Linked DNA regions of Ovis aries. The protein of the gene in region 1 binds, or shares a complex with, the protein of each later gene. Links are inferred from orthologs where the notes say so. Each region holds a gene or a part of one and is shown in the gene's direction. Other genes may lie near its edges.

Region 1 (3,738 bases):
GCAGCTGCAGCAGGACAGGGCGCAGAGGGGCTATGGAGGAAATGGTGCTTATTCAGGAATTTTCAGTTAAGGGTAAACCCCAAATAGCCCCAAATCATGCTTGTGGGAAACTTTCTGAGTGTTTAGAGCTGCTGCTGCCTGGGTAGGTCCAGCACCTGGGAGCCTGTATGTGAGTGGACTGCCTCTGACTTGTCATCCTCAGACACTAGCCCTGGCCCTGAGCAGATCCAGGCCTGGGCAGGGAGGGGAAACCGACTCAGGCTGTGCCCCACCCTGCTGTGAACACCCACCTCCCTCCCTGGCCTGGGCTGTTCTTTTGTCCCCATTTCCCCAGGGCGTGCTGGGTGCCAGGCACGCACCCCCCACCCCATGAAGACAGGAGAAGCAGGTGCAGCTGGTCCCCAGAGAGACAGGCAGGGGGCGCTGGCTTCATGGCCGACAAGCCCAGAGCATCTCTGGTTTCAGTCCTTGCCTGCCCTGAGTTTCTTATATCTGATTATAGACTTTCCTGTTATATATTTATTAGGCTTGTTTTCATTTTGTTCACTGAATTAAAAGCAAGTGGCTGACTCAGCAGAACTCAGGGCACGCAGAGCAGAGCCCCTCGCCCTTGACCTCTGCCCCTGTGTCCCCTGCCAGAGGCCGCAACTGCTCCTAAATCGCACATGTGTCTTTCCGGGCATCTTACTGTCTAAATGTTTCACACGATTGTCACACCTGTCTGGCTACTCTCCAGAGCCTGTCTTGGGTCATCCCCGCCCCCCCACCCCCCGCAAGTCATCGGTGTCCTCTACACACCACAGGACATTCCATTGCTTAGATCCTGCAGGATGGAGTTCTCCAGCCCCCATGGGTGGACACTGAGGTGTTCTCCAACCTCATGCCGTCATACACAGGCTGTTGGGGATGTCTTTGATAGAGGCTGACTGTGCACCTGGATGAGCCCCTGTGGGAGATGAATTCCTCCAGGTGGAGTTGCTGGGTCCGAGGGCATTTTCTCATTGTGATGGGTCTTGCTGCATGGCCATCTACAGAAGTGGAACCACCTACAGACCCAGCAGCAATGACAAGAAGTCCTGTCCCTCTAACCACCCACAGCACACTTTGCTCCCAGACCTTTCTTGCTTTGATGATCCCAAAGACAAAAACTGGAATCCCACTGGGAGAGCTCTTAAAATGAAATCAGGTCCTGACCCCCCGCCCCACCCCACATACCCTGAAAACTCCAACAGCTCCCATTTCCCTAAGACAGCTTTCAGACTCCTGACCGCCGCCCACCAGGTCTCAGATGAATCAGGGCTGGCCTTGTTCTCAGTATCTTCTCAGATCTCCTGGCCCCTCCCTGCTTACTGGCACTGGTCACGCCGTTTCCCATGGCGTGGCCTTCGTTTGTGCTGGTTTTGCTCCTGGGAGTACACTCGCCACTGCTCTTCCTGCTGCTTCCTCAGAGTTCAGAGGCTCAAATCCTAACAGAACCCCACCCCTATCATTGTCCCTAAGGCTCCCTCCCTACCTACCCCCTCGAGTTCTTCGAGCGCTTATGACCAACAGCAACGTCTCTGACTTTTAAAAAGCATTTATTTTTGGCTGTTCTGGGTCTTTACTGCTTTCCTCAGGCTTCCTCCAGTTGCGGAGACGGAGGAGGCGGGCCTGCTCTCCAGATGCGGCGTGCTGGCTTCTTATTGTTGTGGCTTCTCTTGTTGCAGAGCACGGGATCTAGGCATGTGGGCCCAGTGGCCTTGGTGCGCGGGGGCTCCGCTGCTTGGTGGGATCTTCTGGGGCCAGGGATGGAACCTGTGTCCCCTGCATTGACAGGCAGATTCTTATCTGTGGTGCCCCTAGGGAAGTCCCTCTGCTGACTTTTTTGAAGCATTCCTGTCCCCTGCCCTTAGAGTGTCAGCTCCTGCTCTGAGGGCTCTGTTCCCACTCTGTCCCCAGGCTGGCAGGTGCTCAGTGATGTTTGCTGAACAAATAAACAACTGACAAGGAAATCCCTTCAGGAAGGAAGAGAAGCAGGTTTCTCTTCTGTCTTTCACACAGGGGAGGAGATGCAACAGATGAGGGGCTGGTGGTCTTGCTGAATGTCCCTCGTTACTAACAACAGGAAAAGTAAATGGTTGTTAGTGGTGGTCCCACCAGCTGCCACCCAGTAGATTCAGGTTTTGCTGAATTTCAGGGCACAGGGCCTTTCAGAGCACGGACGGGTGGAAAGGGTGCCTGTGCTGAGAGTGGAGGGTGGAGGGACAGCGGGCGCTTGGGGAGCAGGTGCCAGCCCTCTTCTTGGCGCTCCTCGCAGCGTTGGGTCCTCTCAACACCTGCGTGTGACACCCCTGCGGCCCCTTCACAGATGGGGAGACTGGGTCCCCAGTGAGCGTGGGACCCCATCCACTGGCCCTGGCAAAGACCACGGCTCCTCATCCTCGTGGCTTCCCGGTGTGGGCAGAGGGCGGAGAAAGCACACAGGCCCGCCTTCCCCTCAGGTCATCTACTTGCGGCGGTTCAAGGCCCTGCGCACGCTCAGCCTGTCCGGGAACCCGGTGGCCGAGGACGAGGACTACAAGATGTTCATCTGCGCCTACCTCCCTGACCTCGTGTACCTGGACTTCCGGCGCCTCGACGACCACATGGTAGCGTCTCCCTTCAATGTGGGCTCTGTGGGTCAGCGTCCAGGCCCTGGGCATCTGGGGAGGGCCACGTCCACGGGAGGAGAGGAAAGCAGCCCCTCCTGGAGGCTCCTGACCCTAACGGCCCCTGTCACTGTGGTGCACGTTCTTGGCTGGGCCCTGTCCTGGGCCTCCTCCCGCCTCCTTGCTGCTGTCCTGCTCTGTCTGCTTCTCCGTGGACAAGTCTGGGAGACTGAGTGAGAGTTGGCCCTCAGTGGGCTCAGCAGCTCAGGGCAAAGTCAGGACTCACCCCCACAACAGGCAACCCCAGGAGTGACACTGACAGGTCATGGTAGCACCCCAAAGTGCCAACCTCGCTGACCCCAGAGGGATGCCCCCAGGACCCCACAGCCGAGGTGGCCAGCAGAGAGCTGGGCTCAACTGCAGCAGAGCCAGGGTCTCTGGCCTGAGGGAGCCTCACCCCAGGTGGAAGGCCCTGCCCCTGTCCACTGCCTGGCCAGGCCACCCCCGCCTCTGTCCTACACCCCTGCCTCTGTCCTATACCCTTGCTGGGAGCTTTTTACCCTTTACCCTGTGACCAGTTTGTGGGTGCTTTGCCCCCAGGGGAAAAAACCCCGCCCGACAGGGAAGGCCTCTGGCAGCAGGACGGGATGAAAGCAGGGTATGAGGAGGTGGGGGACTTGCCACCCTCCAATGAGAAGCTGCTGCCTTTCCTGGGAGGAAGGAGCCTGTGTCTGGCATGGGGGGAGGCCCTAAGGTGACGTGGGGGCACCGGGAGAGCTGGCTGGTCCCCAGGTCTCCATGCTGACCCTGCTGGCCTGGCTGCTGCACCACCTTCCAAGTATGGAGCCCTCTGCTCGCAGGAACCTTTCTGGGGGTGTCCACAGAGACCAGTGGGGATCCACAAAGATCCAGGGGGTCCACAGAGACCCAGGGGGTCCACAGAGACTGGGGGTCCACAGATACCAGGGGGGTCAGAGAGTTGCCCCTCCTTCCCCAACCATGCCCTTCTCTTGTCCAGGAACAGGACAGGACTGTGAAATTTTGAATTTCAAGACTCTCAAGTCTTATTTTTTGCATTTAGGCAATACTTTGAAGGGCAACGGGGGCTCAA
Region 2 (4,231 bases), on another chromosome or scaffold:
TTGTGATTTAAGTAGGCAGGCAGTACAGCTGAGAAAACAGTAAATTGTGCCATACCCAAGGTGGCAGGGCCTGTCTGCAATTTCTTACTACCCTAGTGCCCTTTTCCGAGTTTCTCTCAGGCCAGTAGTACAAGGTTCGATCAAATGTTATCCTGCTTGTTTTCGAATGAGTCTTAATGCTACATAAGAACGCGGTGCATTTTTTGTCGCAGTGCGACAATTGACACGTACAAAACACCCAGGAAATAGTGCTTTTCAAGGGACAGTAGTCCTTCGAAAGTTTAAATGTGCTTCTGTGCTCTTAACTTTCATTCCTCCCCCCTCACTCCCTTTCCTACCTGTTTTTCTCTGCTCTCCTCTTTTTTCTGTATGTGATTGCGGGTAGTAATGGAGGGAGTGCAGCCCTACTGAAAACCGCTACATAAGACAACGGTTCCTTGTTGGATATACATTTATTGATGGCAGGGGGTTTTCACATTCTAGAGACGATAGAGGCTGAATACACAAAGTAGGAGCTCAAACACTAATGGATGATGGGAATTCCTCCGCGGCTCAGTGGTAAAGAGTCCGCCTGCCAGTGAAGGAGACAAAGGTTGGATTTCTGATCTGGGAAGATCTCACGTGCCACGGAAGAACTAAGCCTGTGTGCTGCAACTATTGAGCCTGTGCTCTGGAGCCTGGAGACTGTAACTACTGCAGCCAGGAGCGGCAACTACCAGAGCCCTTGCGCCCCAGAGCCCTTGCTCCGCAATCAGAAGCCCATGCACTGCAACAAGGAGTAGCTCCCGCTCGCGGCAGCTAGAGAAAAACGCCTGCTGCAAAGAAGACCCAGCACAGCCAAAAGTAAAGTTATACATATTAATTTTTAAAAAGAATGGATGACAAGCAGGTGGATGCAATGTACTTTAGTTCAGAATTTCTGAGTGAACCTATTATTCTACCCCCTCCATCGAGGAAAAGACAACGCTTGGATCCTCGGAGCTAGCACAGTGATTGGCATAGAGTAGACATTGAATTACATTAGCTGAATACGGTGATTTTGAGGATTATTTATTTGATGGATGAATTAATCATAGGGTAGGTAAGTGATGAATCACAACTTGGTTCAGCTCTTAAGTCTTCCGGCCTCTGTTAATACCACCTGAGCCTTAGTGGGGGATTCAATACAGTCCTCACCGTAATTGCAGCAGAGGAATAAAACCCCAAGCTGAGACAACGGCGCTAAGAACACCAGTGCGCCCGGCCTTAGGGGCTGCGCGCGCAACCACGCCAGCTGCGGGTCAGGTGACTGCATTTCCCTGGCAACAGCTTTGTTGTTAGCAACCAAACTGTAGTCCCACGGTGGTCCAGGCAGGGCTGCCCGGGGGGCGGAAGGCACCTGCCATGAATCCGCCAGGATCCCTGGGGGTCCTGGAGGAGAAGGAGGATGAACATTTAGCCACCCCAATTCTCGGACCCTCCGTACATTCTGATAATCCTCAGGAGCGGATCCAGGCCCGGCGCCTGCGCATTGCGGCGCGCCTGGAAGCTCGGAGGCGGTGAGTCAGGGTTTGGGCGCGTTCTTCCAAGGAGCGCCCGGGGTGCAGGTGACCTGGGTGCTGGAATGAGGGGGTGGCTTCTCCAGGCCGGAGCCCCTGTGGTGAGGGGCTCGCGTGCCCTACGTGTGAGCTGGTCTTGCTTCTTGATGAGATAGAAAACTTTTCTGCCAGAAGGTTCAAACAAAGTATGTGATATTAAAGCATTGAATACACTTAGCAAAGTCAAAGATGGAAACAGGAATCCCTCCAGCACGTTCACGGAGAGCCTGCTGCGCCAGGCACTGTGGGCCGTACCTGAAGATGTTGGGGCTTCATGACCGGTCCCCCGAGATCGTTCTTTCCTCCTTGCCTCCCAGCGTGCCTTCCTTCCACAAGGGGTTACAGAGCAGACCTCGGCTATCACTTCTGTTGGTTTCAGTGGCTTAACTGGTTGTGTGACACAAAACCGTTTTCCTGCAGAGTCTGAGGCTGATAACTGTACCATTCTCAGGCTGGGGTTGCCACCCTCGTCCACTCACAGACTTTGTGGCCTGTCTTAAGAAGGGGGATCGAGGGGAACTTGCGTGAACCTGTGACTGCCTGAACACCGCACTGTGTGACAGCGCTTATACCTCGTCCTGCTGGTCAGGGTCAGCTGCCTTGCCAAGATGGTGCTTCTCTTGTTGTCTGCCGGTCTTTGGACACAAGGGGCCCAGAGTGATGTGGCTGTGTTCCAACAAAAACTTAACTTAAGGACACTGAAATTTGCATTTCATATAATGTTCGTGTGTCACAGAATATTCTTCATCTTTAGATCTTTTTTTTTAAAATTGATACACTTCATATTTTAGAGCAGTTTTAGGTTCACAGAAGAATTGAGTGGAAACTACAGAGGTTTCCCATTTACCCCCTACTTCTACACATGTATGAAGCTACCCTGGTGGCTCAGATGGTAAAGAATCTAACTGCAATGTGGGAGGCCTGGATTTAATCCCTGGGTTGGGAAGATCCCTAGAGAAGGAAATGGCAACCCACTCCAGTATCCTTGCCTGGAGAATCCCATACAGAGGGGCCTGGTGGGCTACAGTCCATGGGGTCACAAAGAGTCACACCCAACTGAGTGACTAACACGCACTCTACACATGTATAACCTCCTCCACTATCAATATTCTCCACCAGAATGGTACATTGGTACAACAGTTGGATCTTGATAAATATATAATGACATGTATCTACCCATCACAGTACTGTACTGAAGAGTTTCACTGCCCTAAAAATCCCCTGCACTCTGCCTATTCGTCTTGATCTTTTCAAAAAACCATTTGAAATGTAAAAAAATCATTCTTCACTCCTGAGCCATACAAAAGCAAGTGAATCAGATTTGGCCCATCAGCCAAAGTTTGGCAGCCCTGAGATAACAGATCAGTGTGATGCTCTGTGGGATATCCAAGTGGTCCTGATCTATCTAGACTCTAGTTTGTCAGCTCAGGAGCATTGACATGGCCCTGCAAGTATGAGGACTGTATGAGTGTGTATTATCTGTTCCTCCTCGATATGAACTTCCTAATCCTTTTTCCTGACTGAGGTAGAAATAGCATATTTGGCTCAATCAGTGGCCACATTCCAGGTACCTAAGGCCACACTTATATGTTCAAGCAAGGACCTGCATGACAGCTGCAATTAGGACTGCTGCTTGCTTGAGCTTGCAGTAATTGACAATCATTTTCTTGGCTCCATCCATCCAGTTTTTGCAGGGACCTGACCAGTGAATTAAATGGTGATTTGATAGGCACCACCACTCCCACATCTGTGAGATTCCTAATTGTACTGTGTGCTCAACCACTCAGTCATGTCCAGCTCTTTGTGACCCTGTGGACTGTAGCCCACCAGGCATCTCTGTCGATGGAATTTTCCAGGCAAGAATACTGCAATGGACTGCCATTTCCTTCTCCAGGGGATCTTCTCAACCCAGGGATTGAATCCACGTCTCCTGCATTGGCAGGCAGCTTCTTTGCCACTGAGCCACCTGGGAAGTCCTTGAGATCCCTAAGGGTGATGCTAATCCCTACCGTAGCCCTGGTATACAGTATTGCTTTTTGTGCACTTGGGTGCAGTTTTGGAGTGTCCATTTGACCTTCCATATGGCTATAGCTCTTACCCACAGGCCAACAACCTAGTGTGAGAATTTCTCAACTTTCTAAGCATGTTAAGATCACCCTTGTTGCTCTTTAGGGAATGGTTTGGAGGAACAAAGATCCTACATGCCACTTGGAGTAAAAAAACTCTGCCTTTCCAATGCAGGGGAGGCAGGTTCCATGGGGAGCGAGCTAAGATCCTACATGTACTCCCTGCATTGGAAACTCAGAGTCTTAACCACTGGACCACCAAGGAAATCCTGGATTGTGTTCTTTTTAGTATTCGAATTTTTATCCCTATGGAATATATTTTTGTATATGGTGAAATATACTATGAAAATTTAAAATTAAATCCCCCAGGCCATGCACAGCTCAGCAGAAAGATTTAAAAACAAAACAAAACAAAACAAGAAGTTAGGAAAAAAAGTGAAAGGTTTTACTTCCTAGAATTTAAACTTCATTTTCTCTACATTTTTTGCCATCCCAGGGAAGCTCTTGGAGAATATTTAGACGGGAAGAAGGAGAGTGAGGAAGATCAAAGCAAGAGCTACAAACAGAAAGAAGAAAGCAGACTGGTAG
Region 3 (4,454 bases), on another chromosome or scaffold:
CAGAAAAGGAAATTCCAAATGAGATGCTACCATTTGGCTGTCTTAAAGCATTTTATGTCTTTTCTTTTTTTTTTTTTTTGGCTTAAACTTTTCACCACAGATACTTTCAAATATACTCAAATGTAGAGAGAATATGTAAATGAACTTCCTTGTATTGATCACTCAGCCCTGACAATTATTAACATCTTGTCCTGGCCAGTATTTATTTTGAAGGCTGGAGAGGCTATTAACCTTTTCAACTCATCAAGAAGAGCTTTCCTAATTATATCGTTGTTATTATAGTAGCTACTGGCTTTTATTTTAACTGTATAATATATGACTGTTTGCTTGTAATGAATGCATTAGTTTTGTGGCTCTCAGAGGGGGTTATCACAACAGAGACATATGTGCCTCAATATGTGAATAGTGTTGCTGTTAGGAAATTTTACTCAGCTGATGTCCCCACTTCACAATGAGGAAAGTGAGGTTTAGAGGGGTTAAATTAACCGACCTCTTGTAAGTAGACCGCTGGGAAGTAATAGAGCCCAGATTTCAACCCAGGCAGTCTCACCCTCCCTGCTTAACCATTACCCTTCCTCTCTTCCCAGACCAGTCCCCTCATCTGAATTCAAACCCATAATTTTAGAGAGGGAAAACTGAGGCTCGGGGAAGAGAAGGGACGTTACTTAAAGTCACAGTGCTTCTCCCTCTAGAGAGGACCCAGAATGGAAGGGTCACCCCTTAGGGAAAGGTCCCAGGGAAAGCCGGCAGGCCGTCCCGCGCTCCACTCGGGCAGACGGACCGGGCAAGAGTCTCTTGCAGGGTGGGTGGACTGAGGGCTCCAGGGAGATGAGCATTTGAGAGAGAAAGGGGAGCGAAGAGGCGTGCGGGATTCTACTCCACGTGTTCGACTTTGAGCCCCCTCTCCCGCCCCGGGCTTCCTCGGGCGGTCCCCACGCTGGGCCCCCTCCCCACATCAGGACTGGAGGGAGAGAAGCGCAGCAATGAACTTCCCCGCAACCCCTCTTGGCCCGACCTGCCCGCCTCCCACACCCAAATACCCAGCCGCAACCTTTCACTCCGAGCCCCCTGCCCCTTGACCTCTGCCCTCTCCTCTGACCATCCCTCACATGCCTCGAATTCTTACACGCGCCGCCCCAGCAACCCGGACCGACCGCCGGGGTCCGCACAGCACAGCACAGCCCGCCGGCGCAGCCGCCAAAGCCCCGAGCCCGGAGCTGTTGCAGCTGCAGCAGCCGCCGCAGAAACCGCCACCTCAGCCGCTGCCACCACGGCAGCTGCGCCAGCTCTCCCATCCGCCGCCTACTGTCCCCTTCGCCTGGCCGGCACCGCCCCAGTCCCCCCTTCGCCGCGCCCTATTGGCTAACTCGGGCGTCATGATGATCTCTGATTGGCCAATCCTTACGTCCTTCCCCAGTTAATACAAGCCTCCTTGCCCACCTCCCTGGGGAAGAGAGGCGGGACAAAGAAGCTCCGCCCCTTTCACGCCTATTCTCCCCGCCTTACTCGTTCAGCTTAACCCTGAGGGACGCCCGGCTCTTCCAATTGGTGGAGAGTTAGACACACCTTGTTTCTGATTGGTCAGTCCTCAGGAGGTGGACCAAACCGAGGGGAATAAGGAATCGAATGGCGAAAAGGAAAGTTAATCAGACACCGAGTCCCGCCTTCTGAGATTGATGGGTAACCTAGCAACGCAGGAACAGCTGTGGTAACCAAGGACAGAAAAACTTAAAGACCACCGAGCAGGTGAGTGATCATGTGGGGAAGGGCTGGAGATGATGGGGAGATGTTGAATGGGATCTAGTCCTCTTATCTTTTTGACACTCTGAGGAATCAGCATCCCGTCCCCCCTCCCCCCACCGCTAGCCCGTCCCCAGCTCAGGACCCTGATCTCCAGCCCCTGCCTCAGTCTGGACGTCCCTCTCGACCTTCTGCAAAGACGACTGGGCGTCCTCTTTGGTGTCTCTGCCTCTACTCTGCCCTTCCTCTTGTCCACTTCATGGTTCCACTTCCTCATCCGTAAAACGTGGATGATACTAGTCAAGTGGACTCACAGCTAAGTTAAACTACTTTCAAGTTACACATAGGTGTTGGGGGTGAGAGAGTAGTTTTATAAGTCCCCTACCATTCTGTCAACAGCTTATAAATCCCAAGGTGAGCATGCAATGAGAGTGAGTGTTTAAATTATGTACCTTTGTACCAATGTTGGCCTTTTGTGCTATAATAACTTTAGACCTTAACTTCCATCACTGTCCTTAAAATATAATTTCATTTACATACTCAAGAGAAAGGGTTTGTTGCAAGGATTAACTAAAACAAAGTAGAATAGTTGTCGCCAGGGGCTGGGGGAGTGGGAAACGGGCAGTTATTACTTAACTGGTACAGAGTTTCAATTTGGGATGATGAAAAAGTTCTGGAAGGCAGATGGTGGTGATGGTTGCATATAGATATGAATGTAACAATTTAATGCCACTGAATTTTAAATGGTTACAGTGGTAAACTTTATGTTGCCTGCATAAGTGCTCAGTTGCTTCAATCAAAGTCAGTCGCTTCAGTTGTGTCTTGACTCTGCAAACCCTTGAACAGTAGCCCGCCAAGGCTCCTCTGTCCGTAAGATTTTCCGGGCAAGAATACCTGAGTGGACTGACATTCCCTCCTCTACGGAATCTTCCCAACCCAGGACTCCAACCCGGTCTTCTGCACTGAAGGTGGATTCTTTACCCCTGAACTTATGTATATTTTAACACAGTAATAATTTTTCAAAGCAACTATAAAGCTAGACAAAACCATCTATTGCTAAATTAGCACTCTGAAAATCAGCCAAAGGCATACAACAAACTGAGAGCTTTTATTCATAAAACCACCGAACTTCAAGTTTGTTTTGTACTTACCTGGGACTTCTCTGATTTCCCCATACTCAGTTCTATCTGGCATAATAGTTCAACGAGGGCAGGTAGCCCCCTGAAAACCAAGAGCTTCACTGTCGCTGTCTGATGGGGCTCACTTGATTTGGAGGACTCTTGGCTAAAGTAGCAATCTTGGTGGGACGAGAACAGGGAACGCCAGCGGGTGTAGCAGTCCAAGGTTGTAGTTCTATTCGGCGCCAACAGTGCACTGAAAACTTGGAGTTCTGGGGAATGCGGCATCCATGCGGAACCTGATGAGCTCTGTCTTACCTTGACTGACTAGAGGTTATGCGCATGTGCAGCAGAGACCTGCTCCGGCCCAAGAGACTTAGAAATGCTTGGCCTTTGGAGCCTGGTGTAGACAGGTGTACTGAGTGCATAGGGTACTTGCCATCCAAGAATAGGAGCCTTACTGGTTCAAAGTGTGAGCACAACCCCTGACTGATTTTTGGCTGAATATTAAACTATGTGGATACATAGGTGACCCCTAGGAAGCCAAGTTTTAAAATAAAAATATGCAAAAAAAATTAAGCAGAGATATCAGTAGCTGCACACCATGGAGGAGACTGACTTGACAGATTTAGTCCAGGAAGTAAATTACCAAATGCCCAAGCAAAACAAAAACAGCAATCATTAGGAAAAAAAAATACTGTGTTGCTACCAAAAAAAATTTCCCTCTAAGATTTCCAGTGTTCAATAAAAATTGTGAGATGTGTGTAAACATACTCAGGGGAAAAATGCAGTCAATAGAAACAGTCTCTATGTGTCCCCAGATGTTGGTTTCAGCAGACAAAGACTTCAAAAAAGCTATTATAAATACGATCAAAGAACTAAAGGAAACCATGTTTAAATAACTGAAAGAAGACAAGATAACAATGACTATCAAATAGAAAATATTTAGTATCCCAGAATAGATTATGATAAATTAAGGTGTACATTATAATCCCTAAATCGACCACTAAAAAAAAAAAAAAAAAAAACACTCAAAAAATATTTTAAAAATCAATGGAATAATTAAAAGAATGGACTAAAAACATTTAACACAATAAAAAGCATTCAGTAAATAGCATGGGGACAAAAAAGAAAAGGCATGAAATGCCAGAAGCCAGTGTGAGGAATCCTGCCCGTGACAAGGTCATGAGGAAGGAAGCTGACATACGCAAGGTCGTGATCAGACTTCAGAGTTCCCCCTGGCATTTCCTGAGCATGTACCCCCCAAAACCAAAAATCTGCCAGCCTTTGTACTCTGCTTTTCCACTTTTCTGATATTCTCTGGAAAAAAGTCAATTCAGGGCTTTAGTCTTCTGCATTTGAAAGGAATGTTTCAGTTAAACCCCCTCTGATTGCTCTCTAGCTTGCCTAACAGGTTCCCCAGACCTCTTGTGAATTGCTTACAGCCCCCCAACCGTGAGAGGCACAAGGCTTAGAAGCATCTTAAAGATACAGAGCCATTTCTAAAGAGTTAAAAATTATATTGGTAGAGGGTTTTTGCTGTTGACTCAATGACTGCTGCCAGGCCTCCATATTCTTTATCTTTTAGGCACCTGG
Region 4 (4,404 bases), on another chromosome or scaffold:
AACAAGGCCTCCCTGAACTCTTCATCTCGGCAGTGCACACTGATAAACCATGCTGTGCTGTTCATTTGTGACAAACGAATACCCTGTCTTGTTATCCTGAGCTAACCCTCCTATTCTTGCCCTTTTTGTTGAAAGGAATTATTGTTAATGCATTCGTTTAATTCAGGACTCCCAGCCAGAATTCTAAAGCAAAAAGCCAGTCAGCATGAGGCACCTAGCATAGTAAGTGCTAAATAATAATCATTAGCACTCTGTCCTACCAGGCTGCACTGTCTTACTTGCCAGAACCCCTGTGGGAGGAGCCTACCTTAGGGGAGAAGACCCCTATCAGACCAGACGTGTCTGACACAGGCTCAGGCTCTTGTCAGCCCAGGCACAGAGACACCATCAGACCTCCCAGAGGCCCTGGGACTGCTATAAATGTCACTCTTTGTGCAAGTCGGTTGATACAGTCCCTCCAAAGGGCCATTCCTCTCCAGGAACAATTAAGTCTTGGGTGGGCAAAGAGGAAACCCCCAGGCTCTTTTTTGTGGCTCTCTTCCCTGACCTGAGCCTTTCTCCACTATTCACACTCTGTGCCCAAGGCAGTTCTCCAGGGAGAGAAGATTCCTCTCCATTCCCAAACTGACAGAAAAGCTTGACCTGCCGCAAAACCACTATTTCATAAGATGCTAATGTTGAGTGTGGAAAACAAGACAACAAATGGTGTTGTTTTGGGTATAGGTAGCTGGATGGTAAGAGGGATCAGAAATTCTCTCTGCAATTTGTAAAGCAGTTAGCAGTTTTCAGAGCAAGAGGTTAGAGGGAAGAAAACCCCTGAAGACTTTTTTTCCCTGCAGAGCTCGTCTGGAAGCCCGTAGCAAAGGTTTCTAGTTTTTCCTCACCAGGAGGACAAAGTCTCTTTAGGAAGAGCAGTTAGTTTTTGTGAAGGGGAGACTTGTTGATTTCAAAACTGTGGACCCCGCTGGAATATAATTTTCTCGCCTTACTTTTGCTTCCTCTGAGGCTTTGTGGAAATCCAGCTGTCTTCCAGCCTCAGGTGGGAGGAATCGTCAAAGGGGGGCAGGGTGAGGTGAGGCCCCAGAGCAGAGGTTCCGCGAGAATTTGAATCTAATTTGGGTAAAGTCGCGGTGTGGCCGCCTCCCCTCGCTCACTCTTTGAGTTCATGCACTGTAGGTCTTGTACCCACGTAGAGTACGTAACAAGTGGACGGAAACCGTTCCTCCAACCTCCGTGGAGCTTAACTTTTAGTGGGGAAGACCCGCAGTAAACAAGACCTGTCCCGAAAGGAATGCGTTCCCAGGTATCTTGGAGAGGTAGCTTGTGGATAATGTCCAGCTTCGGCCCAAATCTACAGACTCCGCCTGGTTAGTTGCTAAGGACTCCCGCCGTTGCGAGGCACCGGCCCTGCCTGCGGGGTATCGCGATGGTTCTCGAGACTTCGCGCGGGATCGTGCAGTCGTTGCCTGGAGACGGCGCATCCTGGGAAGGCCGGGCACTTTGGTTTGTTGGTCCACGCAGGCGGGAAACCACAACCATGGTGAGGCGGTCTCATAGGGTCCGCGCCGGAGCCCTAGGGCTCAGGGGTCGGCTGGCCTTGGGCGCTGGGAGTCCCCGGGACGGGAGATCTGGAGCTTTGGGGTCTTGGAGCTGCGGGCTTGGTGCTCTAGGGGGTGGGGGGCGGGGTGTCCTCGCAGACGCGGCTTCCCCGTGGAGCTGAGAGACTTGGTCTCTCCAGAATCTTGTACACACCCGGGTGGTGGTCAGAGAGCACCGTCTCTCCCGCCCCCAGACCTAGGGACTGGTGTGCACGTGTCCGGACCGGAAAACCTGGGTCGAGTGGCTACCCTACCTGGAATGGAAGGCTCATTGATCAGATCCTTGGGAAACAGAGGTCCTCCAGCCTCTGGGATCGGGAACCTGGGGTATACCATGGTGGCCAGAGGGTCCTGACAGCGGTTCCAGCGCACGTAAAGTCCCCAGGGCAGAGCTTGGGCAAACCTGAGAGGAGTCAGGCGGGAACTGAGCAGAGTGGAGCTTGCTGCCTCTGGGCTTCTCAGTCCCCACCCCTCTGTGGTAGGGCTCTCAGCTGCTCACTCCCCCCTGTGCTGTATGGGCTGTAGGTCACCCAGTTTCCAGGCAGGTGTGGCAGGGTGGCCATCAGTGCGGGGACCCCTCTGTGTGTGGGGGCCCCAGGGGCTCTAGAGGCCCCAACCACTGCCTTACTCCCAGATGCTGAGTAAGCTCCTGGGCTCTTCTGATGGGTTGGACTTCTTGGAGTAGAGGGTTAGAAAGAGGGCAGTGTTTTAGGAGTGAAGATTTCAGCGGTTCTGTCTTTTGCAAGTCAGCTGGGAAAAGATCACCAAAATACATCTACTTTCACTAACTTGAGGGAAATATGCATGATTTTCCTTTTTTTTTTTTTTTGTTACTATGCTTTCTAACATTTCCTCATAAACTTTTTTGGTAATAAAAATGTTACAGAGACGTGCAGATGCATGCCTCTTTATAGACAAAAGCATGAGCCACAGAAACTTGTGAGAAGTGAGGGCAGAGGATAAGGCGTTAGTTTTCTTTCTGTTGAGTGGCCCCTGGAGACGCAGTGGGGCAGAAGGTCCCCTCTGGCACCGTGGAGAAGTGGTTAAAAGCAGGCGTCACCGCACTGACAGAGCCCACAGTGTGTGAGTGCCAGTCTGTGCCAGCAGTCTTCACCCCCGGTCTCTGAGGCACCCACCTTGCGCCCATGGAGCGATATATTGCAGGTTTCTCTCTGGCACTTGCCAAGCACTATAGTCTGTGCTGCTGGGGATACTCCTTTGTGAGGCCGAGTAGCTTTTGCTCCACACCAAGGAAGTCTCTGCTGTATACAAGGAACATGTTCTCCCTCTTCCTTTCTGAGGGGAAGCAATATTCTCTTCTGAGAAGGGAGATTTCTCTTTGCTGTCCACAGAATATGCCTGTGGTTAAGGATGGGAAACCTTAGGGCAGAGTGAGGCGGCCCGGGTGGAAGCCTGAGACAGTGGGCAGTCAGATAGAGGTTCCAGGCAGAAATTCCTCTCCCGAATGGCCCTGAAAGGGAATGAACCAGCCAGAAGTGAACCCTAACCCGACCATGTATTCTTCAATCCAAGGCGCCCAAAAAGAAAGGGAAGAAAGGCAAAGGCAAAGGCACTCCGATTGTTGATGGGCTGGCTCCGGAGGACATGAGCAAGGAGCAGGTGAGCGGGCTGGCTGGGCCACGGCCCCTTGCTGGGGCAGGTGGGATGGGTTTGCTGCCCCACGCTGGTCCTAGGAAGTTCTTTTAGACTGCAGCACCCCGGCTCCTTGTCTGCTTCCCCTCAGTCTGGCTCCTGCCGTCTGCCCACACCAGGACATGTGAAACAATGCAGCACGTGTGATGGGTAAACTTTCCGCTAGGGTAGTAGGAACTTGGAAGGAAATGTTTTTCTGATATAAAGCTATTTTAAGTTTTCTTTCATTCTTACCCTTTTTAGGCCCCTACTGTTTACGGAGATGTTAATCATAGTATATACACTTACAGCATTCTCATTTATTTGATTTACCATTAAACACTGTGAGTTATTTTAGGCCGCATGTTCATTTCGATGACATTAAGAGCTAGGGAACATGATTTGATTAATTACAGTTTCAATTGAAAGGCTCCCAAAACCTATAACTTGCGCAACCCATGAGAGCAGATGTGGTCTGGAAGTGTTCATGACCCTTACTTACTTTTGATGGTTTTAAGATAAAAGAAATCAAGGGAGATTCAACAAGGCATAAGACCTGAAGATGGAGAGCTGGGCAGAGGCCCTTGAAAGTGGTGAACAGGCTCTCTTTCTCACACAGGGAAGCCATCGGCAGTCTGTAGAGGGTAATGAGGTCAGGCTGTGCTTCGAGGGGGTCACTGGGGATGCCTCATGGAGGTTGGCTTACCCGCTGTGTCACCCCAACAATCAGACTGTTTCCTGCCTACAGGTTTACTTCCTGTCCTGTGACACGGCAGGGGTCAGTCTGCAGAGCTTGGAGGCTCTCGGGGTCCAGGCAGTAGTAAGATGAGAGATTCAGGCCAGCTGTGGTCAGATCTGAATTTGGCAATAAGGAGTTCATGATCTGAGCCACAGTCAGCTGCCAGTGTTGTTTTTGCTGACTGTATAGAGCTTTTCCGTCTTTGACTTCCAAGAATATAATCACTCTGATTTCGGTGATGGCCATCTGGTGATGTCCATGTGTAGAGTCTTCTCTTGTGTTGTTGGAACAGGGTGTTTGCTATGACCAGTGCGTTCTTTTGGCAAAACTCTATTAGCCTTTGCCCTGCTTCATTCTGTACTCCAAGGCCAAATTTGCCTGGTACTCCAGGTGTTTCTTGACTTCCTAGTTTTGCATTCCAGTCCCCTATAATGA
Region 5 (4,489 bases), on another chromosome or scaffold:
GATTTATGACCCCCACCGCACCCCTGGCCCCCAAGATCTCATGGCTGTTTCTTCAGATCTGTTCTTGATAACAGGCAATTGACCAAAACTGTTGAGGAAGACAGAGAAATATCTAAAGAAAGAGTCTGCAGTTCCCTAAATCCACAAGGGGGAAAGCCCTGAAGTTTCTGCTGTTTTCATTTTAGCCACTTTGGTGTTCACAAATCTGGGTGGCAGACAGACAGCAAAGGCTCCCAATAGCAAAAGGCTGGAGAGAGGGGTTTCGGGGAGGGAACAGCTAACCAGGGCAAGCCACTCAGCGTTCTCCCTTCCCCAGATTTATTTTTCCAACTATTCGTGACTCCAGCAAGATGCTAGGCAGCACCCCTAAATGAGGGGTGCCCCCAACATTGCTCCATAAATAATTTAAATAGAAAAATTCAGGAGACTTACTAGAAGGTCAAGAAAATCCACTAGAGGGAGCCCAAATCAACTCAATGCCACAGGGAACCAAGCTGGTTATTTTCTCAGCACCTGTCTGAAAATCAACCACAGACAGGAATAGGGAGAAAGAGGAAATATATTAAGTCACCATAAAAGAAGATAGTCCTGTAAATACCTGGTGAAAATCCAAGCCTTTCAAGATTTACAAAATCAAAGATTTAGGAAACTGAGGCTGAGCAAGGAAAATGACTTACCCAAATTTACATATCTGGAGAAGGGTAAGGATGAGAACTCAAAAGCTCCTGTCTCTAACCAGTACCCTTTCTTCTTGATTTGCATCTATGTCAGGATAGAAGGGCATCGCAACCCACTCCAGTATTCTTATCTGGAGAATCCAATGGACAGAGGAGCCTGGAGGGCTACAGTCCATGGGGTCACAAGAGGTTGCAAGAGTCGAACACGACTGAGGTGACTTAGCACAGCACCTTGAGGTCCTAGGTCGAACTCTCCTCTGTGTCTCATTTATCTGAAATAGGAAACTCTCTCAACCACCATCTCCTGAATTTCTTTCCCTCATTCACCGTAGAATACCTTCCTGAAATCTTCAATTTTAAGCCTATTTAATAATGTCATTTTGTTGATGAGACTTTGGGAAATGTAAATCACCCCAAATGGCTACCGTGAGTTCTTTTCCTCTGTATCAGCGCAATAGCATTATTTTGGATGTGTAAATCTATAATTTGTAAGTGTCCAAATTGCAGGCAGTGCTACATAGAAGTGAATCATATTTAATCAGTTCCAAAGCCCTCTCTCCTCAAACTACACTTAGGATCTGGGGACAAGAAGAGTATTGGCCCTCTGAGACCTTGGTATTTTAAGCATTGTATTTAGCCCCTTCTACCAGACACAATTATAACGACTGAGCAAGCATGCATGTACCTTCCTAACAGCTCCATGTTTCCCAGTTGCCTGGACAACGTGCAGCCTCCAGAAGCCCAACCTTCCAGTTCTCAGTCCCACCCCCAAATGAAATTTGCCACTCTGGATTGGGTCCCAGAACACAATCTCCTCCTCCGGCTCCTAGCTGGTTGGGCCTTTTCTCTGCCCCTCCTGGAAAGTGGGTCACGCCACAGGGAGATACAACAGAGACAAGTGAGGGTCTTGGAGGAAGGAAGAGGCAGGGTAAGGATGATGGGAAGAGAGAAGGGGCCAGGTACTGAGCTTTATTTTCTCTGAAAGAGGGTTGAGAGGAATGATTTCTGTACTTAGAGCTTGACTGGTAGAGAGAAATGGGTTCATCCTTCCCCCTGGCCCCAGCCTTGCCTAAGTTTCCAAGGAAACCAAGAACTGAAGCTTCTGGAAAGTGTAAGAGACAGACTTGGAGATGAGAGCACTAATTCTCCTGGGACTCCTGGTTCCGTCTAGGGAGTCAGGAGAGTGTCTCCATGTCCAGACCTAAATATGAGCCCCCTCCCTCCCTCCAGGACAGGAAGGAGATGCCACCTAAGACCAAAGAAAAAGGGACAAAAGCTGGGGCCCAGAAGAAGAAAAGAAATGCAGGTGCTGGTGAGTCAGACTGGGTGGAGGTGGGTGCCTCCCAGCCTCTCCTTGTTCTGGCTCAGAGACCTCCAGAGAGAATTCATCCCTCTGCGTGACAAGATGGAGCTGTCTTGGCCTTCCCCCTTTATATCCATATTCGGGTGCCATGGAGCTGGGAACATGGGAAAATCAGCACCCATGAATCCCTTCTGGCTGTGTGCCTTCCTTGTATATTCATTACAATCTTTCAAATACCTACTGTGAGCTGGGTAGTGAACTCATTAGGCTTTGCTATCAGAGATCCCTCATTTAATGGTCCTTGTATCTCCCACAAAAAAAAGAGAAGTCCAGGGTATGGGAGGAGGGTGGGAGGAGGGTAGGGAAGGCTGAGATCCTGACAAGCTGAGGGTCTGCTGTCTTGCCAGGGCAGATGTGGAGGCTGAATCCATGCACAGGCTGGCACTGCTGGAAAAGGAGGTGCTCCAAGACCGCTTGGGTAAGAAGGGTAGAAGTTCGGCAACAGAGACAGTGGGCATTTGTGTATCCCTGGGAGCTTAAAGTTTTGGAACAATGGTGGAGGGCTGAGCTGATCTCTAACCATCCCCTAATGGGAAAAGATTGTCAAGAGCTGGGGTCATGAGGACAGGGTGGGCCGTGAGGGTTGATAAAGAAAGCTAACTTTTATAGCTGGAACACAGAGGGAGTTTTTCCCTCTTAGTAACAGAGTCTGTAGGATTCTGAGGCGGGGAAGGGAAACAGAATGACGATGAGAGACTGGCAGGCTGCCGCCAGGTTTCTGAAGGTGGACAGAGTCCATCAAGGCCATGGGGGCTGATTGATTGAGTGGAGCCCCCAACCAGTGCAGAGGGCTGCTCTGGACTGTTCACAGCTCTGCAGAGGGATGAAGCCCGCCGAGCCAAGGCTTCGGAAGACCAGCTGAAGCAGAGGATCAAAGACCTGGAGGCTGAACTGGAGGGGGCCCGGAGCGAAGGGAAGGCCATATATGCAGGTGTGAGGTTGATCGAGCAGGTGGGCGGGAGACAGGGGCCCGGAAGAGGACAACTGGGAGGGCCCAAGGATGCTAGAAAGGGAGACAAGGAGGACTTCGAACCGCCATACCTAGCCTCAGCCCTCCCTGCACCCACAGGAATCCTGAGGGGGCCTTCTGTGGTCTTGGGCAGGAACCTTCCGTGACATGCAGTGCTTTGTGCTTGATGTCCCGTGGACTATGAAACGCAGCCCTAGCCTTTATCTCACTCCTCCCGTGGGAGTGGGTGGGAAGGAGGGCCTGAATTCACATACTGAGCTACCATAGCGGATGGGTGTCTTATTTCCTAGCTCTGTCCCTACCTTCTCAGATCACCACAAGAATCCAGAAGACTTTTTTTTTTTAAGATTTTTTTTTTTTTAATGTGGACCATTTTTAAAGTCTTTATTGGATTTGTTACAATATTGCTTCTGTTTTATGCTTTGGTTTTTTGGCTCTGAGGAATATGGGATCTTAGCTTCCAGATCAGGGATCAAATCCGCGTCCCCTGCATTGGTAGGTGAAGTCTTAACCACTGGACTGCCAGGGAAGGCCCTCAACAGACCTTTATGCACTTGTCCACTGGACCAAGCAGAGCCCTCCCCACCCACAACTTCTGTCCTTTCTCCACTGCTCTCTCCCCATCTGGGTCCCTGGCCACCCACGGCTCTGCCAGAGATGAGTCGTCAGTGCCGGAGCCTGCAGGAGGCGATGCAGAGTCGCACCAGGAAGCTGGAGGAAGAAGTGAAGGGCCTGCAGGAGCAGTTAGGTAGGCTTCCCAGGTGGCCCTAGTGGTAAAGAACCCGCCCGCCAATGCAGGAGACTTAAAAGATGTGGGCTCCATCCCTGGGTCGGGAAGATCCCTTGGAGGAGGGCATGGCAACTCACTCTGTAATCTTGCCTGAAGAATCCCATGGGCAGAGGAGCCTGGATAGCCCCATTCCATGGGGTCACAAAGAGTCAAGCACTAACCGAGTTAGCACGCACACACAGCACACCCTGCCCTCACAGCACTTTCTCTCAGAGGATCACACTGATGTAGTCCAGCCTGAAGGGGTGGAGTTAGAATGGTCTTTCTTTAGAAAACTGCAATTTAAGCTCTCATACTGTCTTCCCCCACTGACTCTTCTACTACTTGCAACAGAAGGTTCAGGATAGCAAAAAATACCCAATCTTAACCTTTTAGTTATAAATGAAGAAGCCCTAACTTTCTCACTGCACCTCCCTCTCTCAATGGTCTCTCTAAAGACAGTTCTTACTCCCCACTGCCCACATGTCTCTCACGAGCAAAACACAGTCTCTCTTAGTTTGGCTGATGTTTAGAATGAAAGCAAGCTTGAATATAACTGTTTGAATTACTTACCTCCGTATCTTCAAGACCTAATGTGTGGTAGGTCCTGAATAACTATTTGCTAATAAATAAATGAGCTTCTAAATAAGCAACAAAGCAAAACAAAACAAAAAACAAACAAACAAACAGGAAGCTTTTGCTCTCTTCCA
Region 6 (3,738 bases), on another chromosome or scaffold:
TTCAGAGACTATACAGTGCGCAGGCGCAGGGCGAGATAACCTTTACCTTGGCTTATTTACTGCAGCTAAGACTTTGTTTTGGGAACTTCCTTATCAACTTAGAATCCGTTTTGTCCCAAGGTCTGTTCCTTTTGAGGAATCAGAGAAACATCCTTGTGTGCAAGCAATGTTCTTTTCCCATGGGAACAAATAGGATTTTTAGCTGAACATCTCATTTGCAAGAATGCTCAGCCCTGGTTGACAGTCTCGTTAGCAAGCACTTCTCAATCTTCCTTAAACCTAGTTCCCTACACTGGGCAGAACATCTCGTTTGCAAAAATGTCCAGCCCTGGTTGAGAGTCTCGTTTGCAAGCACTTCTCAACCTTCTTTAAACCTAGTTCCCTACAGATTCTCCAGGCAAGAATACTGAAGTGGGGTGCCATTTCCTTTTCCAGGGGATCTTCCCTACCCAGGGATCGAACCAGCACCTCTTATGTCTCCTGCATTGGCAGGTGGGTTCTTTACCACAGGAGTCACCTGGGAAGCTAATCAAGGGAAAGTGAAAATGAAAAGTAGCCCAGTCCTGTCTGACTCTGCAACCCCATGGACTATACAGTTCATGGAATTCTCCAGGCCAGAATACTGGAGTGGGTAGCCTTTCCCTTCTCCAGGGGACCTTCCCAAATCAGGGACAGAACCCAGGTCTCCCACATTGCAGGTGGATTCTTTAGTAACTAAGTTATCAGGGAAGCCCAATCAATTCATCTTGCCAAATCACCAGAGGCAAGATGAAAGGGACAAGAGAAGCTCATCAAGATTAGAAGACCCACCACCTAAAATGAGATTAAGGAAGTGCAAGCTCTGCCCACACTCTAATCTTGTTAGAGACCCCACATTTGACCCTCATCAAATTCTCTAGGGTTGGGACTCTTGGTTTTTTGAGACAGAACATGGTTTTAGGTTCCTCTTTGCCTGGTAGAGCAATAAAGCTAGCTATCCTTTTCTCCACCCCAAACTCTGTCTCCAGGATTTGATTTGGCACCCGGTGTACAGAGAGGCTCAGCTTTCAGTTAACATAACCATGAGACAATTTTGGTTAGCATCTGAAAATGTTGCTAGAAAAAAAGTGTATTTGGCTCAAGTTCAAATTGGTTGAGCATAGTCAAATAGCAGAGGGTCCACATCTTTAATAAACAGTGAGTTGCTTTTCTCTGGGAAGTCGGAATGTTACTGGGGGTTATTAAGCAGAATCATCTGCAAAGTACTTCCATTCATTCTCTTGAGTATATGGCAAAATGGACTTTACAGGAACCCATCTACATGCTGCCTGTGTTTTTGGATTTAAGTGATTTTAAACATCTGATGGTTGACTTATTTTTTCCTTCCTTCTTTCTTTAGAGGTCAACTGGAAGCCTCAAATCTTCCTCCAGAAGATTGGCCTTCTGAAGTGACGGTGTCAGTGACAGGAGAACCACCTAATACTTCTGTAGAAGAAAAGGAAGAAACAGATAAAGAAGCAGTCATAGAAATCAGCCCAGAAATCATGAAGCCGCTATCCATTCTAGACGTGCTGAGGATCTCTGCAGTTCTGGAGGACACCACAGACCAGCTCTCCATTCTAAACTATATCATGCCAGTTCAGTATGAAAAAAGACAAAGCATCAGCATGGTATATATATTCACCATTACTTAATTTTTGCTTTCTCTTTATTTCTCCATCATTTGCAGTACCTATGCCATTCAATTCAACTTGGGCAATAGCACCTTCTAGTCAGGTAAAGGGCTACAGTAATTATCTAAGATATGTACTCTCAGCTAATGGAGTGAAATAGACATAGTTCACGGTACATCTCACAAAATATCCTTTTCTCCTGATATGTTGGCGTTATTCTAAAAAGTCCATAGATAAGTCAGTATAAATACAATATATATACTGAGGAGATAAATAATTGTGTTTTCTTGTCTTGTATTGGTATTTGTCAGCTGGCAACCCACCCCAGTATTCTTGCCTAGAGAATCCCCATGGACAGAGGAGCCTGGCGGGCTATAGTTCATGGGGTTGCAAAGAGTTGGACTGAGCGATTAAGCACAACAGCACAAAAGCTAACTGAACACCAGGGGGAGGAAATTCAACTGGACCCTGTCAACATTTCTTTTATCTAAAATGACTTTGTCATTGCGAAATATGTTGCAGTCTGCTTTTCTCAATATCCAGCTGCATTATTGCACTAGCCATTACATTTTCCATGATGTTATGGATTCCTCCCTCAAAGCACCACTGAGTTATCAAAAAACTCAACTTGATAGTGAGCAAAATCTTTCATAAATTCTTAAGCCCTTAAACCAGAAACAATTTTTAAGTACAAATTTTATTACATTTTATTTTAAGTACATATTTATTAAGTTTAACACAATTATATAATTTGTACAGATTATATCTGATTCTGTGATAAATGCAACTTGCTATAAAAATGAGAGGGTAAATTAATTTTCATGTCTAATAGAAAAGAAGCCCATATTTACTGTGACTAGAAAATTAAATTTCCTTCTAATTGCCCCTTACAATTTTATAATTATTATTATTATTATTACTACTGCTATATGTATAAACGGGATTCACAAAACTTTTATTAGGGTTTTAAAAGTGGATTTGAAGTTACAGGATCATTATGGTTGAATTGTGCAATAAGCAATTCATTTCACTTTCTCAGTCTTAGTTTTCTCATTTATGAATTGTGGTGGAGTTTTAACTAAATGAGCCCTTCTAATACTAACATTCTATGAGTTTTAGGGTGATTTTAAAACATTAATGGGTATTATAGGAATTTTGCAACAAATTAGTTTCCTTATTAATTTATGAAAAGCAAAGACATCTGGAAACCCAAGAACTAAACCTTTCAGTGCACTTAAAATTAGTCTAATTCTTAAATTGTTTGTTAACAGATAGTACAGAAGAGACACTAACCTCACTAAATATCTTCAGTTAACAAGATAAAGTTTTCTCAATGATATTTACGTCAGGCTTTAAAAAGGGTACTTTTCCATCATAGAAACTCAAGAGAGAAAGAAAAACACAAATTTATAAACAACATTCAGTAGTGGTCACCATTCCAGTACATAAAAGAACAAAACTTCTCCAGTTTTAATCTGGTTTATGATCTTCACCCACAAAATTTTCTGACATGACAGAGAGAGGCCCTCCTTATGATTTTATAGAAATATAAACAGTAAAGGTTTATACTCTTATTCTGATTAATAGAGCTTAAAAGCCCCTTTCAGAATATGTTAGTTATATAACTTTTACGAATGTGACTCTTTAAAATAATTTTTCATTTTATAGTATTATAGTTGTTCTAACTCATAAATTTTTACAGTACCATTGCCCTGCATAAGATAAATATTTAAAAACCTTATGGTACTGATGTGGATGTTTTCCTTCTTTAAAAGCTTCACATTGTTGAGCTTTACAGTAACAACACTGGGATGAAAATTTAGTTAGCATTGTCCCTCTTCCACAACCATTTTTATAGCTAAAGAATCATGGAATGGAATTATGAAAAACACACTAATGTACTAAGTTCTACCAGAAGTAGGAGTAATTGATCTGAACTTTGGAAAGAGCTCCCTTGCAGGGAATACTGTTCTTATTTTTTCCCTTAGAATCTAACACCCTCCCGTACAAGGAGGTGAATGGACCAGAATATTTAGCTAGTTCCTTCAAGTTCTCTTCTAAAAACTCATATTTATTTCTAGTAATC
Region 7 (2,606 bases), on another chromosome or scaffold:
CTCTGTTCCTACAGAAGCTGCCAGTTACTTATTTCCTTTCTAGTGCCGATCTCACCATTCAAACCAGCTTCCCAGGAAAATCCTTCTCTCCTGGAAATGACATTATTTTCAAGTTAGATATACTATTTTTTCTGATGTTGAAATATTGTGCTTTATAGGATATATATATTTGGTCATTCAGAGGATCAAAATTTATCTTTTATATATATATTTGGTCTTCCTCCATGGTTTTTGGCTCACAGCTCCCAAAATCTTTGGAATTTCCTGAGTGATAAGAGCAATGGAAGAATCTTTTATCATAGTATTTGGTCTCTCATCTTCAGTTTCTGAAACTGATTCAGAGCCACAAGGTGAAATATGGGTGTCTTGTTATTCATAACAAGTTCCTTTCTACTACAACTGAGTTTATGTTAAGGAGGTGACTTCTGGAAAGCACCTAAGGATGAGGGCTGGTTGCCAAGGGAATCAACCCTGAATAGAGGAGTGAAACATTTTCAGGATGATTTCAAAAATCACCCTCTGATTTCTGGGGAGAAGTGAGGGCCTGGAGGTTGACTCAGTCACCAATGGCCAATGATTTAATCAATCATGCCTACATAATGAAGCCTCCATAAAAACCCTAAAGGGTTGAAGATCTTCCAGGTTGCTGAATGCATAGATTTGGGGCGAGTGGTATGCCTGTAGAAAGCAATGAAGATTGGTATCCTTTCCCCATATCTTGCCCCATGCAGCTCTGATACCTGGTTGTTCTTGAGTAATATCCTTTAATGAACCAGTGATTCAGTAAGTAAATGTCTCTGTTTTCTGTCAGCAGCTCTAGGTGGTAGATCAGAAGCCCAGGTAACAAACACATCTGGAAGGTTTTCCGTGGGTCTGAGCCCTTAACTTGCAGAATCTAATGCTATACCTGGATATATAGTGTTAGAATTGGGCTGAATTATAGGATGGCCAGCTGGTATCTTAGAACTGTTAAGTGGTGTGGGGAACACCACCACCCCATGTTGGAACTGGGGTTCCAAATAACTTTCTGATGATTTCTTTGCTTCCTTCTAAGAAACACATATTTTTAATCATTTTGGTCATGGACACCTTTGAGACGTTAATGAAAGTCACAAACCCTCTCCTCAAAAAAAAAAAAAAAAAAAAAAAAGCATAGTAGATACAAAACTGCATGAATTTTCAAGGAATCCCTGAGTCCTTCCTGAAGTTCATCTGCATATCCAACAGGGATCTGTGGACTCTAGGTTAGGAGCTCCTGCTCTGGTGCACAGCTAACTTTCACGGGTTGCCTACTTAGGATACTTCCATCAAAGAAACTCAAATAACAAGCAGAGAGCTCACTTAGGAGTGCTAGCTACAGAATGCCCTCAGTGTTTCCACGCCTTGGCCATGCTATTTCCTTACCCATTTCAGTGTCTGTTAATCTTTGAACTGATTGAACCAGAGAACTACTGAGCTACTGAAGCTTTGGGATCCTGATTATTAGCACAATTTACCCACACCCTCCCCCTCAGGAAGGCAAAGAGATGTGAATTTGAGTTGTGACAGTGAGTTCTTTAACTCCAAATGTGGTCTAATTTGAAAATTCTGCACTAGCAATTACTTTTTCAACTAGCTAATGCTCATCACTGTTATTACAGGGAGGCAGCTTTAAGAATGTCATCTTTAGTTCAGCACCAGGAATATAGCGCTTCTAACCCTCCACTTTGGTTTGGCTATGATTCTGAAGGCAAGTCTCTTACAGAGCAACAAAATACATCACTTAAAGATTCAGAATTGACCATGAAAGAGTCAACATACAGTAATGAAGAGGAAGCAGTATGACCTTCAACCTCAAGCAAGAACCAAAAATCTAGAATCTGGCAACTTCATTTAATGCAAGTATTTTTTACTAGCTGGACCTGATCAATGTAAACAAGCTGGAAATCATTTCCAGATTTTTATTCCAGCTATGTGTTTGTAAATACATCTATGAGTTCTTCTAACAACCACGATTAAAAAAAGCCAAATCAAGTATTGCTACTATGTAACTTTTCTACGTAAATTTACCTTAATCAAATTGTTTTGATGAGATTATCAAATCTAGGTTACAGTTGTATACAAAACAATCCTGACAGATGTGATGTTTTTGACAAGAAATTTACAAGCGTCTCCTTAGAAAAGAAAGCAGAAGGCTATATAAAATAGTAAGGGTTTTGAGTGAGAGCAACGACATTAAGGATCTGTAAGGCTTTATTATAAATGATATAGATATACATTTTAAAAACAAACAAAGCTTTCTAATAATTTCTAGACACTTAACAAGAGAGATCTAAATGCCAATTAACCTAGGACTCATTTCAACATTTGACTTAACAGTCAGAGGCAAATTAAAAAGAAACAGTCCCTTTTAGTCAAATTTGCACTGTCCCTACAATGTCTCAGAAAGATCTTTTTTTATTGAAGTATAGCTGATTTACAATGCTGTGCTAGTTCAGGTGTATAGTACAGTGATTCGGTTATATACATGCATGCACATACATATATATTCTTTTTGGATTATTTTCTTTTTTTTAATAATCTTAAATTTTTATTTAAAATTTTATTTTTTAATTTTTAATTTTTAT

What was found.
Region 2: DRC3 (region 1) and DRC1 share a complex: the UniProt entries of both Homo sapiens proteins name them as parts of the nexin-dynein regulatory complex. The link is inferred for Ovis aries from reciprocal best matches to the Homo sapiens genes DRC3 and DRC1.
Region 3: DRC3 (region 1) and IQCD share a complex: the UniProt entries of both Homo sapiens proteins name them as parts of the nexin-dynein regulatory complex. The link is inferred for Ovis aries from reciprocal best matches to the Homo sapiens genes DRC3 and DRC10.
Region 4: DRC3 (region 1) and GAS8 share a complex: the UniProt entries of both Homo sapiens proteins name them as parts of the nexin-dynein regulatory complex. The link is inferred for Ovis aries from reciprocal best matches to the Homo sapiens genes DRC3 and DRC4.
Region 5: DRC3 (region 1) and CCDC153 share a complex: the UniProt entries of both Homo sapiens proteins name them as parts of the nexin-dynein regulatory complex. The link is inferred for Ovis aries from reciprocal best matches to the Homo sapiens genes DRC3 and DRC12.
Region 6: DRC3 (region 1) and IQCG share a complex: the UniProt entries of both Homo sapiens proteins name them as parts of the nexin-dynein regulatory complex. The link is inferred for Ovis aries from reciprocal best matches to the Homo sapiens genes DRC3 and DRC9.
Region 7: DRC3 (region 1) and FBXL13 share a complex: the UniProt entries of both Homo sapiens proteins name them as parts of the nexin-dynein regulatory complex. The link is inferred for Ovis aries from reciprocal best matches to the Homo sapiens genes DRC3 and FBXL13.

The regions. Positions count from the first base shown.
Region 1 is NC_056064.1:34,294,484-34,298,221, reverse strand, and holds part of DRC3 (dynein regulatory complex subunit 3), read left to right. Parts: intron 1-2,480; coding exon 2,481-2,627; intron 2,628-3,738. UniProt on the Homo sapiens protein: Component of the nexin-dynein regulatory complex (N-DRC) a key regulator of ciliary/flagellar motility which maintains the alignment and integrity of the distal axoneme and regulates microtubule sliding in motile axonemes.
Region 2 is NC_056056.1:33,576,769-33,580,999, forward strand, and holds the start of DRC1 (dynein regulatory complex protein 1), read left to right. Parts: upstream 1-1,318; 5' UTR 1,319-1,383; coding exon 1,384-1,538; intron 1,539-4,139; coding exon 4,140-4,227; intron 4,228-4,231. UniProt on the Homo sapiens protein: Component of the nexin-dynein regulatory complex (N-DRC) a key regulator of ciliary/flagellar motility which maintains the alignment and integrity of the distal axoneme and regulates microtubule sliding in motile axonemes.
Region 3 is NC_056070.1:61,298,415-61,302,868, reverse strand, and holds the start of IQCD (dynein regulatory complex protein 10), read left to right. Parts: upstream 1-1,644; 5' UTR 1,645-1,746; intron 1,747-4,454. UniProt on the Homo sapiens protein: Component of the nexin-dynein regulatory complex (N-DRC), a key regulator of ciliary/flagellar motility which maintains the alignment and integrity of the distal axoneme and regulates microtubule sliding in motile axonemes.
Region 4 is NC_056067.1:14,319,936-14,324,339, forward strand, and holds the start of GAS8 (dynein regulatory complex subunit 4), read left to right. Parts: upstream 1-1,477; 5' UTR 1,478-1,537; coding exon 1,538-1,540; intron 1,541-3,131; coding exon 3,132-3,218; intron 3,219-4,404. UniProt on the Homo sapiens protein: Component of the nexin-dynein regulatory complex (N-DRC), a key regulator of ciliary/flagellar motility which maintains the alignment and integrity of the distal axoneme and regulates microtubule sliding in motile axonemes.
Region 5 is NC_056068.1:29,498,747-29,503,235, reverse strand, and holds the start of CCDC153 (coiled-coil domain-containing protein 153), read left to right. Parts: upstream 1-1,564; 5' UTR 1,565-1,788; intron 1,789-1,907; 5' UTR 1,908-1,919; coding exon 1,920-1,989; exon of another isoform or gene 1,990-2,274; coding exon of another isoform or gene 2,275-2,314; intron 2,315-2,387; exon of another isoform or gene 2,388-2,392; coding exon 2,393-2,458; intron 2,459-2,827; coding exon 2,828-2,971; intron 2,972-3,509; coding exon 3,510-3,758; intron 3,759-4,489. UniProt on the Homo sapiens protein: Component of the nexin-dynein regulatory complex (N-DRC), a key regulator of ciliary/flagellar motility which maintains the alignment and integrity of the distal axoneme and regulates microtubule sliding in motile axonemes.
Region 6 is NC_056054.1:191,034,514-191,038,251, forward strand, and holds part of IQCG (dynein regulatory complex protein 9), read left to right. Parts: intron 1-1,378; coding exon 1,379-1,649; intron 1,650-3,738. UniProt on the Homo sapiens protein: Component of the nexin-dynein regulatory complex (N-DRC), a key regulator of ciliary/flagellar motility which maintains the alignment and integrity of the distal axoneme and regulates microtubule sliding in motile axonemes.
Region 7 is NC_056057.1:45,627,440-45,630,045, reverse strand, and holds the end of FBXL13 (F-box and leucine-rich repeat protein 13), read left to right. Parts: intron 1-1,640; coding exon 1,641-1,824; 3' UTR 1,825-2,018; downstream 2,019-2,606. UniProt on the Homo sapiens protein: Substrate-recognition component of the SCF (SKP1-CUL1-F-box protein)-type E3 ubiquitin ligase complex.